Anolis sagrei: one gene and its partner. The protein of the gene in region 1 interacts with the protein of each later gene in a pairwise test. Links are inferred from orthologs where the notes say so. Each region holds a gene or a part of one and is shown on either strand. Other genes may lie near its edges.

Region 1 (7,442 bases):
CAGAATTTCAAGTTTATTTTAAGCATTATCACCCACACCCAATAAAGCAAACACTGAACAGAGGCTGAGTAAAATTTAAATACTTCAAGAGAATTTAATATCTGAACTTTTGATTTTAGGCTACAGATATCTCAACCGTATCATCTACTAGTGACAAAATCAGAACGTATGGCAATGTGGGAAACCTAGTCGTAAAACTTGACAGACTTGATCATGTTTTAAAGCAAACATCATCTTTAGTCATTTATAAAGGCCAAAAGCACTGATGTAAAAACAATTTAAACTGTTTTCTATTAATACATTTAACCAGACATGAGGAACCCTTTGAACTGCCAGAAATTTTGGGACTTCAGTTTCCAGAATAAAAAAATTGGAGATACAGAAGTTCTCCACCTTTATTTTAAGCCACTCAACATACCAAACTCTCCGTAACTCAGATGAATGAATTTTGTGGCTACATAACCTGTATTTTTTCCTTGAGCTTCCCTAAAAATGGGCCCTATATTTTATATGGACAGTTTTTAAATAAATGTTAATACACACACAAATATAGGGTGTCATATAAATGTAGGCTGTTAGGAATTGTGGGAGTTAAAGTCCAAAACACCTGGAGGGCCAACGTTTTCCCATGCCTAGGGTAGTGGTTTGAATGTGAGTTTCCAATCTCCCCTATTTGGGCAAAGTCATGGAATGTGTGGTGGCTTCACAACTCCAGGGGTTCTTGGTAGACACCGATTATCTATATCTGGCAGTCTGGCTTTAGGCCAGGACATGGAACCTAAATAGCCCTGGTCGCCTTAGTAGATGAACTACGCCGGGAGCTTGAGAGGGGGAGTGTGTCCGTTGGTTCTGCTGGACCTCTCAGCGGCCTTCGATACCGTTGACCACGGTATCCTTCTGAGATGCCTTACAAGAATGGGACTTGGAGGTACTGCTTTGCAGTGGCTCTGGTCCTTCCTGGAGGGACAGTCCCAGAAGGCGTTACTGGGTGACACCTGTTCGACTCCACAACCATTGTCTTGTGGAGTCCTTCAGGGTTCAGTATTGTCCCCGATGTTGTTTAACATCTACATTAAGCAGCTGGGGGAGATCATCTGGAGTTTCGGAGTGCAATATTATCTGTATGCAGATGACGTCCAAATCTGTCACTCCTTCCCACCCATTACTAAGGAGGCTATCCAGACCTTGAACCAGTGCTTGGCAGCTGTCGGACTGGATGAGGGCTAAGAAATTGAAATTGAATCCAGACAAGACAGAGGTCCTTCTGGTCAGTCGAAAGGCCAAACAGGGCATAGGGTTACAGCCTGTATTGGATGGGGTTACACTCCCTCTGAAGATGCAGGTTTGCAGCTTGGGAGTGATCCTGGATTCATCGCTTAGTCTGGAACCCCAGATCTCGGTGGTGGCCAGGGGAGCTTTTGCACAGTTAAAACTTGTGCGCCAGCTGCACCTGTATCTTGATCTGGCTACGGTGGTCCATGCTCTTATTACATCCCGAATAGATTAATTCAACGCACTCTACATAGGGCTGCCTTTGAAGACTGTTCAGAATCTCCAACTAGTCCAATGAGTGGCAGCCAGATTACTAACTGGAACGACATACAGGGAGCATACCACCCCCTTGCTGTGTCAGCTCCACTGGCTGCTGGTCCATTTCCGAACACAATTCAAAGTGCTGGTCTTGACCTATAAAGCTCTATATCAGGGGTCCTCAAACTTTTTAAACAGAGGGCCACGTCACAGTCCCTCAAACTGTTGGAGGGCCGGATTATAATTTGAAAAAAACATGAATGAATTCCTAAGCCCACTGCACATATCTTATTTGTAGTAGGGAAAAAAACTTTAAAAGAATACAATAATTGAAATGAAAAACAATTTCAACGAATATAAACTTATTACTATTTCAATGGGAAGTGTGGTATTGCTTTTGGCTGATGAGATATGATTGTTGTTGTTTTCTGCTTTCAAGTCATTTCAGACTTAGGTTGACCCTGAGCGAGGGCCGGGTAAATGACCTTGAAGGGCCGTATCCAGCCCCCGGGCCTTACTTTGAGGACCCCTGCTCTATATGGTTCTGGCCCAGCTTACTTGTCCGAACGCATTCCACCTCGCAGTTTAAGATCATCTGGGGAGGCCCTGCTTTTTCTCCAGCCAGCGTTGCAAATGCATCTGGTGGGGACAAGAGACAGGGCCTTCTCGGCTGTCGCTCCCCGTCTGTGAAACTCGCTTCCCAACGAGATAAAATCGGCCTCATCCCTCCTGTTTTTTTTAGGAAGAAATTAAAATCATGGTTCTGGGACCAGGCTTTTGGACAGCAGGCATAATAGCACTTTGGATGTGGAATTCGACTGGAATGGTGATATGCCTGACATTACTGTTTTTATGGTTGTAATTAATGCTTTACTTATTGTTTTAATTGTTGTTTTATTGTATTGTTATATGTAACGGCATCAAATTGTTGCCAAGTGTAAGCCGTCCTGAATCCCCCTTTGGGGGTTGAGAAGGACGGGGTAAAAGTGCTAGAAATAAATAAATGTTGGATTATGGATAGAACCATACTGTCGAATCAATGCAGATGGTTATGCAATCTTTTTTAGTTTGTTGAGGCACCAGCCCTCTCAGGCAAAGAAGGCTAAAGACATTGTAAAACTACAACTCCCATAATTTCATAGTAGTTAAAGTTCAAGTGGTGTCAAATGCCTTATTTCTTCACTGTGAAGGCCATGGCAAACCCAGTGGGAGGCCTTAGGCCTGTCACACCCTCTCAGCCTCAGAGGAAGGGAAGGCCTCTTCTAAGCAAACCTTGGGGAGAAAAAGACTCCAACGAACATAACACACATTTGGAGAGAGAGGATGAAGAAGATAAAGGAAAACAAGGGGAAGGGCTTTACAACAGAAAGCCCTCTGGCTGGCCTGGCACAGGGCCCTTCCCTCCCCGCCCTGCTCTCCTTACCCTCAGAGCCAGGACTGAGGCCCCTCCGCTGCCTCCAGAGACGCCTGTCACGCCCAGCCCCGAAAGACCCGCCTCCCCATCCCCCGTCTTCCAATCGCAGCGCCTGCTTCAGTCGCGTGGGCAGGGCAAGGAAGCGGAAGTCCATGCAGACTGTGGAGACGGGGAAAAGGGAGAGACGAGTTTCTGGCGCTAGAGAGGGACGCACATTGGAACTTCCGGTGCTGGGTGTCTCTCCTCACTTCCGGTCGTGGCAGAGCCTTGCGGGAAGGAGCAAAGGATGCAGTTTCTGAGTTGTTGTAGGATTTTTTCGGGCTATATGGCCATGTGGTTCTCAACCTGGGGTCTCCAGATGTTTTTGGCCTACAACTCCCAGAAATCCCAGCCAGTTTACCAGCTGTTAGGATTTCTGGAAGTTGAAGGCCAAAAACATCTGGGAACCCCAGGTTGAGAACCACTGTGAGGCATTCTCTCCTGAAGTTTCGCCTGCATCTATGGCAAGCATCCTTAGAGGTTGTGAGGCCTCTTTTTTTTTTTTTTTTTGCAGTTTCTCTTTTGCAAAGGAGGCAGTTTGACATCCTCAGCCCCTTCCATACAGCTGTATAAAGTCCCACATTATCTGCTTTAAACTGGAATATATGGCAGTGTAGACTCACTTAGCCCAAAACTATCTTGACAGTGTATTGTTGAAGTATTGTCGAAGGCTTTCATGGCTGGAATCACTGGGTTGTTGTAGGTTTTTTCGGGCTATATGGCCATGGTCTAGAGCATCATCATCATCATTTAATAACTTATGAATCGCCCTCCATCCGAGAATGCTCTAGACGATTTACAGCTAAATTATAAAAGATAAAATACATACATACAAAAATTAAGAATTAACAGATCGAATGCTCTAGTAAAACGCCAGGTCTTAAGTGCGAGAGTAAAAGGCCCTAAGTCACGCATGGCTCTTATGTAGGGCGGCAAGGAAGAGCAGTGGTTCTCAACCTGTGGGTCCCCAGGTGTTTTGACCTACAACTCCCAGAAATCCCAGCCAGTTTACCAGCTGTTAGGATTTCTGGGAAATGAAGGCTACGACATCTGGGGACTCACAGGTTGAGAACCACTGGTCTAGAGGCATTCTCTCCTGACGTTTCGCCTGCATCTATGGCAAGCAGCCTCAGAGGTAGTGAGGTCTGTTGGAACTAGGAAAAATGGTTTATATATCTGTGAAATGACCAGGGTGGGACAAAGGACTCTTGTCTGCTGGAGCTAGGTGTGAATGTTACAACTGATCACCTTGATTAGCATATAATGGCCTGACAGTGCCATATAATGGCCTGACAGTGCTCTGATCTTGACAGATTAGAGAGATGGGCCAAAACTAACAAAATGAAGTTCAACAGGGACCAATGCAAGATACTCCACTCAGAAAAAACGAAATGCAAAGATACAGAGGGGGACGAGGCCTGGCTAGAGAACAGTACGTGTAAAAAAGATCTTGGGGTCCTCGTGGACAACAAGTTAAACATGAGCCAACAATGTGATATGGTAGCAAAAAAAAAGCAAATGGGATTTTGGCCTGCACATCCACTCTCTTTCCAAATCTAGGAAGCAAGTTCTTGGAGGTGTTTGGCTGCAGGCACACACACTTTCTCTTCCAGGCTACACCACGCCAGTCAGCCATGCACTCTTTCCATTCCAAGGCATTTTAACAAGGCTTCCCACTTCCAGGTAAGGAAGAGTGATGCTCTCTTGGAAGAGGAGAGCAGTTTCTAGGGACTGAGGGTTTACTTTTTGTTTGTTGTGGGAGTAACAAAAAGATTAAATAGTGCCAAAATCCAGGCTTGGAGTCAGGGTTGGCTCTCAACTGCTTTCGTGTCCAGCTAATTTTCATACAGGGAGGAGGGTTCCCGTTACATGCTCCCAAAGTACAGAAAAGAATGAAAGAAATGAAGGAAACAGGACTCCTGGCTCAAGAGCAGTACGTGTGAAAAAGATATTGGAGTCCTTATGGACAACAAGTTAAACATGAGCCAACAATGTGATGTGGTGGCAAAAAAAGGCCAATGGGATTTTGGCCTGCATCAATAGGAGTTTAGTGTCTAGATCTAGGGAAGTAATGCTACCCCTCTATTCCGCCTTGGTTAGACCACACCTGGAATATTGTATCCAATTCTGGGCACCACAATTGAAGAGAGAAATTGACAAGCTGGAATGTATCCAGAGGAGGGCGACTAAAATGATCAAGGGTCTGGAGAACAAGCCCTATGAGGAGTGGCTTAAAGAGCTGGACATGTTTAGCCTTCAGAAGAGAAGGCTGAGAGGAGACATGATAGCCATGTATAAATATGTGAGAGGAAGTCACAGGGAGGAGGGAACAAGCTTGTTCTCTGCTTCCCTGGAGACTAGGATGCGGAGCAGTGGCTTCAAACTACAAGAAAGGAGATTCCACCTGAACATGAGAAAGAACTTTCTGACTGTGAGAGCTGTTCAGCAGTGGATTTCTTTGCCCCAGAGTGTGGTGGAGGCACCTTCTTTGGAAGCTTTTAAACAGAGGCTGGACGGCCATCTGTCAGGGGTGCTTTGAATTCAATATTCCTGCTTCTTGGCAGAAACCTCATGGACTGAATGGCCCCACGAGGTCTCTTCCAATTCTATGATTCTAACCCACTTCAAAGCAGATATTGTGGATTATCTGCCTTGATATCCTAGGTTATATGGCTGTGTAGAAAGGACCATAGAATCACATAATAGAGTTGGAAGAGACCACATGGGCCATCCAATCCAACCCTCAGCCATGGAGGAAAAACATGATCGAAGCACCACCGACAGATGGTCATCCGGCCTCTGTTTAAAAGCTACCAAGGAAGGAGCTTCCACCACACTCCAAGGCAGAGAGTTCCACAGCTCTTACAGTTATGAAGATTATTTATTTATTTCATATACTTGTACCCTGCCCTTCCACCCCCGAGGGGGAACTCAGGGCGGCCTCACAGCAAACACCATTCAGTGCCATTATAATGATAAGAACAATCAACACATTCATTAAAACAAAACATTAAATAAACAGTTGTTAAAACACACCAATTAAAATCCGTGTCCATTCATTGTCACTTTGAAATTGCCTATGTCTTCTTCATACAAGCCGCTGTTCAATGGTCAAGTGCAAGGTCCCACAGCCAAGGCTTGGGTTTCCTTCTAAAGGGCAGGAGGGAGGTGGTCAGTCTGATGTCTTGGGGAGGGAATTCCACTGATGGGGAGCCACTGTTGAGAAGGCCCTGTCTCGTTTCCACCAATCGCGTTTGCGATGGCGGTGGGATAAAGAGCATGGCCTCTCCAGATGATCTTAAACTTTGTGATAATTTGTAGTAGGAGATACGTTCGGACATGTAGTCTGGACCAGAACTGTTTAGACCTTTAAAGGTTAAAACCGGCACTTTGAATTGTGCTTGGAAATAGATCGGCAACCAGTAGAGCTGGCATAATAGTTCTTCCTAATGTTCAGGTGGAATCTCCTTTCCTGTAATTTGAACCCATTTCTCCTAGTCCTAATTTCAAGGGTTTCAAAACAAGCCTGCTTCCTTATGACATCCTTTCACATATTTATACATAGCTATCATGTCTCCTCTCAACCTTCAGGCTAAACATACCCAGCTCTTTAAGATGCTCCTCACAAGGCATGGTCTCCAGACCTTTGGTCATTTTAGATGTTGTCCAATCACAAAAGTCATTCAGAAGGGGTTTGTCATTCATTGCCATCCTGGGGTTAAGGGAGTGTAATTTGCCAAGTAGTGATTTAAACCCTGGTTTTTGAGAGTTGTAGTCTAACACTCAAGCCACTACACCACCCTGGCTCTATTACTGAGATCTATTGTGGGTTTTTAAAAAATAAAATAAAACAGATATTGCCACATGTTTGTTTGTATAACATCCCTGTGTAAAGCATTTATTATCTCAAATACTCAGGAAGCCAAATGCAATCTGGCAAGTTGGGCAAGCTCAGTAACTCCAAGGTTAAACTATTTCAGTCATTAAGACATTTTTGAAGAGGTTGGTGTTATTTACATTTACCAATGTTTGTGTTCATTGAACCATCTGAAATCAAATGGATCAACATCCTAGCCACCCATGTAAATAATTTTGGATAGCCAAAAACATATATTACAAGGAAATTCTAGATCCTACAAATAGCATCTCTGCACCTGCAATCTGACAGCAAACCCATAACAAATTCCCAAGCACTTTTGGAAACTGGACTTTATGTTTTGGGACAAGGGCTATTCATGTTGGTTGATTTCCAATCAATTGAAAGAAAATAATATTTTTTAAATTGCTATGGTGTCAGACTATTATTGTAATAACGCAATATAAAGGTGCCTGAGCTACAATTGCTCAATGTATAAACAAGGTGTAATGTCATTTTAATAATGCCACACAAAATTTGCAGAAATGCATATATCCTTTTTCACAGCAGTAACATTTAAAGTGCAGACAGTTATATTGTGTG
Region 2 (7,386 bases), on another chromosome or scaffold:
CGGGGGCCCATGAACCTTAAACCTTAAAAAAGTTTGAGGACCCCCGATATACCATCATCCCGACTTGTAGTGTTTATGCCTCTGTCGTTCATGAATGAATGCAACCCCCTTTTAAGAAGAGGGCAGCCCTTGCTATATCTTGTCGCCATGAGTTCCACAGTTTTCAATCACAGTGGCGTGGTTGTGATACTTTCAAAGGGATCACTGCTTTGTAATTGTAGAACTAGGATGAGCAAAGAGGAACTTAAAAGCCACCGAGAAATAACAAGATTGTGTGAGAGAAAGCAAGCCGTTCCTGTTTCTCAATAGCAGTTCAGTGGGTAGTTTTGAAATGCATGAGCTTGTCACAACAAACTGCGTAGCCACATCCTCAAAGAATGGCCAGAAAATACAGGCAGGTGTGTTGATCAACAACTTCGTTTTGGCAGTTTATCCCAACCTAAAGGAAGTCTTTTAAAAAGTTAAAGGGTCCTAATGGTTCTTTTAAGACCAAGCCTCGTCAAAATACTCTGCAATGGGATTTGACCATTTGATTATTGGGTTGCTGTGAGTTTTCTGGGCTGCATGGCTATGTTCCAGAAGCACTCTCCTGATGTTTTGCCTTCACCTTTGGCAGGCATCCTCAGAGGTTGTGAGGTTTGTTGGAAACAAGGCAAGTGGGGTTTATATATTTGTGGAATGTCCAGGCTGGGAGAAAGGACTCTTGTCTGTTGGAGGCAAGTGTGGATGTTGCAGTTGGCCACCTTGATTAGCACTGAAAAACTTAGCAGCTTCAAACTTGGCTGCTTCCTGCCTGGGGGAATCCTTTGTTGGAATGCTTCTGGAATACGCCATACAGCCCAGAAAAATCACAGCGACCCAGTGATTCCAGCCATGAAAGCCTTCGACAACGCAAACACTACAGAGATGTTAACCCTTCCCTAGGCTATCCAAAGCTCTCTCTCTCTCTCTCTCTCTCTCTCTCTCTCTCTCTATATATATATATATATATGTCTGGAGTTACACTTAAAATGTACCTGTTCCCACTTACAAATTCAACTTAAAACAAACATATAGAACCTATCTGATTTGTAACTTAGGGACTGTGTGTACATTTGTTTTTACATAGTGGTTGGAGCTCTGTGGTTTTTACCCCATTTGGATCCCCAGATGTTATTGAACGACAACTCCCTCTTTTTATTGTATTCTGAAAAGTCTTTATATATATATATATATATATATATATATATATATATATATAAAATAACCTTAAAAAAACCCAGTTTCTGAAGTATAGCAACTACTTTCAAAACAATTACCCAACAATTAAACAGGAAATAAAATTTTCAAACCAGGAATAGATTTTTTCCCTCCAGATTTTGTTAGATAGTGTTATCTGCTATGAGGACTGGGGATAATGGGAATTGCAACGTATTAAAATAGGCCTGACTAAAACTATACTATGCCCCTGTGTTTCAGAGGTGGGGGAAATTTCTAAGGGATTTTAAAACCAGACATCATCCCACAAGCCTTTTATCTCATTCCAAACCCCACACTCCTGATTAAACAGAGCAAACTGTTTCATCTGACCAAAATGTACTATATCACAACTTCCAGCTTTGGTTATAATGTCTAATTTATGAAGAAAACAGGACTTGTTGTTGTCGTCCAGCATCGGGAGAGAGCCACATAAAAAGACAGAACAAAGCCAGGGCCTCCTTAATAATAATAATAATAATAATAATAATAATAATAATAATAGCGAACTGCAAAGACCCTGGCACAAACCAGTAAAGGTGGTCCCAGTGGTGATTGGCACACTGGGTGCAGTGCCTAAAGACCTTGGCCTGCACTTAAACACAATTGGCACTGACAAGATTACCATCTGCTAGCTGCAAAAGGCCACCCTGCTGGGATCTGCATGCATTATTCACCAATACATCACACAATCTTTCCATCTTGCTCTTCCTTTTTCCTTCCATTTTCCCCAGTATCATTGTCTTCTCTAAGCTTTCCTGTCTTCTCATGATGTGGCCAAAGCACTTCATCTTGGCCTCTACTATCCTTCCCTCCAATGAGCAGTCGGGCTTTATTTCCTGAAGTATGGACTGGTTGGATCTTCTCACGGTCCAAGGCACTCTCAGAACTTTTCTCCAACACCACAGTTCAATTTTTTCTTCGCTCAGCCTTCCTTATGGTCCAGCTCTCACATCCATAGGTTACTACGGGGAATACCATTGCTTTAACTATGTGGCTCATAATAATAATAATAATAATAATAATAATAATAATAATAATAACTGCAAAGACTCTGGAACAAGCCAGTAAATGTGGTCCCAGTGGTAATTGGCACATTGGGTGCAGTGCCTAAAGACTTTGGCCTGCATTTAAACACAACCGGCGCTGACAAAATTACCATCTGCCAGCTGCAAAAGGCCACCTTACTGGGATCTGCACACATTATTCGCCGATACATCACACAGTCCTAGATACTTGGGAAGTGTCCGACGTGTGATCCAATATAAAAGCCAGCAGAGTGATCTTGTTTGCTGTGGACTCATCTTGTTGTTTTTCTAATAATAATAATAATAATAATAATAATAATAATAATAATTTTTAAAAAAGATTTTAACGATATATTTTAATTGAAATAACTTGGAATAAAAAGAATGAGCTTTGGCAATAATGACATTCAAAATTTTTTCCCCACCCATGATAAATTACATTTTTGCTATGTAGTCAATTTGTTATGCATCTCCTTAATCAGTAGGTTTTTAAAAACATATTTTCTTATGTTATAAACACAAATCAATAAGCTAAATTTCAAGTGTTACACATATAAATCCTGAGTAATTCAACAAATATTAAAGACATTATGCTAATTTACACTGGTGTAGATTACATTATCCCCACCTTCCCTCCTCAACCACAGTATATTTCTACTAATCTTGCAGATCCAGCCACTTGTAGAGTCTTTGTATTTTTTCTTTGATGTGATCGTTGGCTCTTCCATTTTTCACCCAGTTGAAGCAGACCTTCCATCTGTTTATAATTATCTTTTCTTCATCCATTCTTGGTGCTTGGTTAGTCATAATTCCCGTAATATCTAACAACACTCGGTCATACATATAATCATTCCAATTACTTAACGTCCATTTCCATTTGTCTTTCCATCCTCTAGCAATAATAATAATAATAATAATAATAATAATAATAATAATAATATATTTTGAACCTGCCCTCTCTCCCCGAAGGGATGCAGGGCAGCTTCCAATACAAAGACAAATATTCAATGCCATATACCAGTGTTTCTCAACCTGGCTGGGACCCTTGGGGGGGGGGGGGGATTGTGAGAGGATGTCAGAGAGGTCACCAAAGTCCATCAGAAAACACAATATTGTCTGTTGTTCTGTGTGGGAAGTTTGGCCCAATTCTATCATTGGTGGAGTGACCCCTTAATACAATTCCGCATGTTGTGCTGACCCCCAACCATAAAATTATTTTTGTTGCTACTTCATAACTGTCATTTTGCTACTGTTATGAATCATAATGTAAATATCTGATATGCAGGATGTATTTTCATTCACTGGACTGATATGCCCAAATTTGAATACTGGTGGGGTTGGGGGGGCGGGGTTGATTTTGCCATTTGGAAGTTGTAGTTGCTGGGATTTATAGTTCACCTACAATCAAAGAGCATTCTGAACTTCACCAACGATTGAATTGGGCCAAACTTGGCACACAGAACTGCCATGACCAACAGAAAATACTGGAGGGGTTTGGGTGGACATTGACCTTGAGTTTTGGAGTTGTAGTTTGCCTACATCCAGAGACCATTATGGACTCAAACAATGATGGATCTGGACTAAACTTGGCATGAATACTCAATATGTCCAAATGTGAACACTGGTGGAGTCTGGGGAAAATAGTCCTTGACATTTTGGGAGTTGCAGTTGCTGGGATTTATAGTTCACCTACAATCAAAGAGCATTCTGAACCCCACCAATGATAGAATTGGGCCAAACTTCCCACATAGAATCCCCATGACCAACAGAAAATACTGCGTTTTCTGATGGTCCTTAGTGACCCCTCTGACACTCCCTCGTGACCCCTCCAGCGGTCCCGACCCCCAGGTTGTGAACCACTGTTCTAGAGCCTCTTAGATTGTAGACAAACTACAAACCACAGCAACTACAACTCCTAAATGTCAAGGTCGATTTTCCCCAAACTCCACCAGTGTTCACGTTTGGGCATTGCCACAAACAGTCATAAAAACACTGCACAATAAAATTCCCTCGGCAGCAGGTGGAGCAGGCGACAGAAAGAGCAGCCGCAGCCCAAGAGTGAGGCTCAGTTCCTCCGCCTTCCTTCCTTCCTTCCTTAGCGGCACCTAGCGGCGAGGAGCGGGAAGCATAAGCAGCGCCGCAAAGGAGAGACAGAAGGGGAAAGGAGAGGCAGGCAGAGCGTGGCAGAGCGCTTGTTCTGCCGAAGGAGCGGATTTGGGGGGAGAAAGACCCTCTTCCCCCCCCCCCTTCCTCGCCCTTCCTCGCCAGAAAGACCCCTCTTGCGACCGACATGGAGCCTGCTGCCAGGAAGAACAAGGCGGAGGAGGGCGAGCAGCCACAGCAGCAGCCGCAGGAAAAGGAGGAGGAGGAAGAAGTGGACCCCCGGATCCAGGTAAAGGGGAGCGGGAAGGGGCTGCAGAGGACCCCTGAAGGAGACCCTTCCCCAATGGCTGCTTGCTGGGTGTGTTTTTGCGGCAGTGTCAGCGTTTGGATGAGCCTCCCCTTTCTTCTCCCCTTGCAGCCGCGTGCCAGTCCAGCCCAGTCTCTTGCCTTGGGGGCGTCTCCCTTCTCCCCCATTCTCTCTCTTTCTGGGGTTCGGGAAAGGAAGCCCCTCCAGGTATTTTGGACTTCCAACGGATGTTAGGAATGGTGGGAGTCCTGGAGGGCCCAGGTTTGCCCAGGCCTGGTGTAGATCCACTTAAGGTGCTTAGGCGTTAATAGGCAGCAAGCCTCATCACCAATGCCTCTTCCTTCTATCTCTCTATCTCTATCTAAAAATGTAATGTTCCTTTGTGGGGTTAACATAACTCCAAAACCACTGGACAAATTGCCACCAAATTTGGACAAAATATACCCACTACCCCTAGGAGTGACCATCACTCAAAACAATGGATTTTGTCATTTGGGATTTGTAGTTGCTGGGATTTACAGTTCACCTAAAATCAAAGAGCATTCTGAACTCCACCAATGATGGAATTGAACCAAGGACTCCCAAAACCAACAAAAAATTCTGGAAGGGTTTGGTGGGCATTGACCTTGAGTTTGGGAATTGTAGTTCACCTACATCGAAATGTAATGTTAGTTTGTGGGATTAACATAACTTCAAAACCACTGGACGAATTTACACCCAATTTGGACAGAATACGCCTAACAACCCAATGAGTGACCATCACTCAAAGACTCCCAAAATCAACAAAAAATTCTGGAAGAGTTTGGTGGGCATTGACCTTGAGTTTGGGAATTGTAGTTCACCTACAGCCAAATGTAATGTTAGTTTGTGGGATTGACATAACTCCAAAACCACTGGACGAATTTACACCAAATTTGGACAGAATACGCCTAACAACCCAATGAGTGGCCATCACTCAAAAAAAAAAAGATTTTATCATTTGGGAGTTGTAGTGACTGGGATTTATAGTACACCTACAATCAAAGAGCATTCTGAACACCCCCAATGATGGAATTGAACCAAACTTGGCACATAGGACTCCCAAAATCAACAAAAAAATCTGGAAGGGTTTGGTTGGCATTGACCTTGAGTTTGGAAGTTGTAGTTCATCTACATCCAGAGAGCACTGTGGACTCAAACAATGATGGATCTGGACTAAACTTGGCACAAATACTCCATATGCCCAAATATAAACACAGATGGAGTTCGGGGAAAATAGATCTTGACATTTGGGAGTTGTAGTTGCTGGGATTTATAGTTCACCTACAATCAAAGAGCATTCTGAACCCCACCAACAATTGAATGGGGCCAAACTTCCCACACAAACCCCCCAAGACCAACAGAAAATACTGTGTTTTCTGGTGGTCTTTGGTGACCCTTCTGACACCCCCTTGGGACCCCCCCCCCCAGAGGTCCCAACCCCCAGGCCTTAAGGCCATCCAGTCCAACTCCCTTCACCAGGGCAAGAAAACATATTAAAAGCCCTCCTGACAAAGAGCCATCCAGCCATATATAGATAAATAATATAGATAGATAGATAATTCACACACACACACTCATATGTATATGACAGATATAGTGTCATAGATTTGAAAGGGACTCCTAAAGAAGGACAACAGTATGTTCCAGAGTAGGCAAACTAGACAATCTCTACATCAACACTGACAAAGAAACAACAAGAAATACTGTTTATCCACAAGCAGAAAGAAATTACATATATTAGAAACCAACACTTTCTCATTACTTTATTTTCCAGATCACTAGACTGGGCCACAGCAACATGTGGCAGGGGACAGCTAGTCTATAAATAAAAATGTAATGTTCGTTTGTGGGATTAACATAACTCAAATACCACTGGATGAATTGACACCAAATTTGGATATAATACACCTATCAGGCCAAAGAATAACCATCACTCATAAAAACATTGAAAATCAGAACGTAAGGGACATAAAATCAAAAAAATAAAAACTACATAATAATAATAATAATAATAATAATAATACTTTATTTGTACCCCGCTATCATTTCCCCAAGGGGCTTGGTGCGGCTTACATTAGGCCAAGCCCACAATACATTACAACGCATGCACAGAACCACACACACACATATATATGCAAACACACATGTATACACATATATACAAATATATATACACACACAAAACACATATACATAGACATGGCCACAGCAATGCATGGCAGGGGACGTCTAGTAGCAGTATAAAATGTCACCACAACAGCTTGTCACAATGCTTGAAATCTGCAGCCTGAAGCAGCCGCCTCACCTGGGTCGGCTGCCCTACAAAGTGGACTTTTGTTGGAAATGGAAATAACAGGAAAGGTTAGAGTAGGACAAAAGAGATGCCACGTCTATAAGGTGCACTACAAGAACATTTGAAGGTGGCGCATGTATTTGTGAATGCGTATCCAGAAGAGACATGCATTGTCTTGCATCCAAAGTAGATATACACTTGGGAACAGGTGTAGTGAAAGCTCAGGAGCATCACAAGTGATGAAATGCATGTAATGACTTAACAACTATTTATTAATTTATTTATGGCATTTATAAACCTGCAGTTTCTCACCCCAAAGGGACTCAGAGCAGCTTATGATATATATATATATATATATATACACACACACACACACACACACACACACACACACATAC

Evidence for each region. The genes of interacting proteins can lie anywhere in the genome.
Region 2: the proteins of EXOC1 (region 1) and SH3BP5 interact in a two-hybrid assay, tested with the Homo sapiens proteins (2 studies listed by BioGRID and IntAct). The link is inferred for Anolis sagrei from reciprocal best matches to the Homo sapiens genes EXOC1 and SH3BP5.

What each region holds. Positions count from the first base shown.
Region 1 is NC_090025.1:73,465,803-73,473,244, forward strand, and holds the start of EXOC1 (exocyst complex component 1), read right to left. Parts: upstream 3,052-7,442; 5' UTR 2,954-3,051; intron 1-2,953.
Region 2 is NC_090026.1:80,094,298-80,101,683, reverse strand, and holds the start of SH3BP5 (SH3 domain-binding protein 5), read left to right. Parts: upstream 1-4,377; 5' UTR 4,378-4,554; coding exon 4,555-4,656; intron 4,657-7,386. UniProt on the Homo sapiens protein: Functions as a guanine nucleotide exchange factor (GEF) with specificity for RAB11A and RAB25. Inhibits the auto- and transphosphorylation activity of BTK. Plays a negative regulatory role in BTK-related cytoplasmic signaling in B-cells.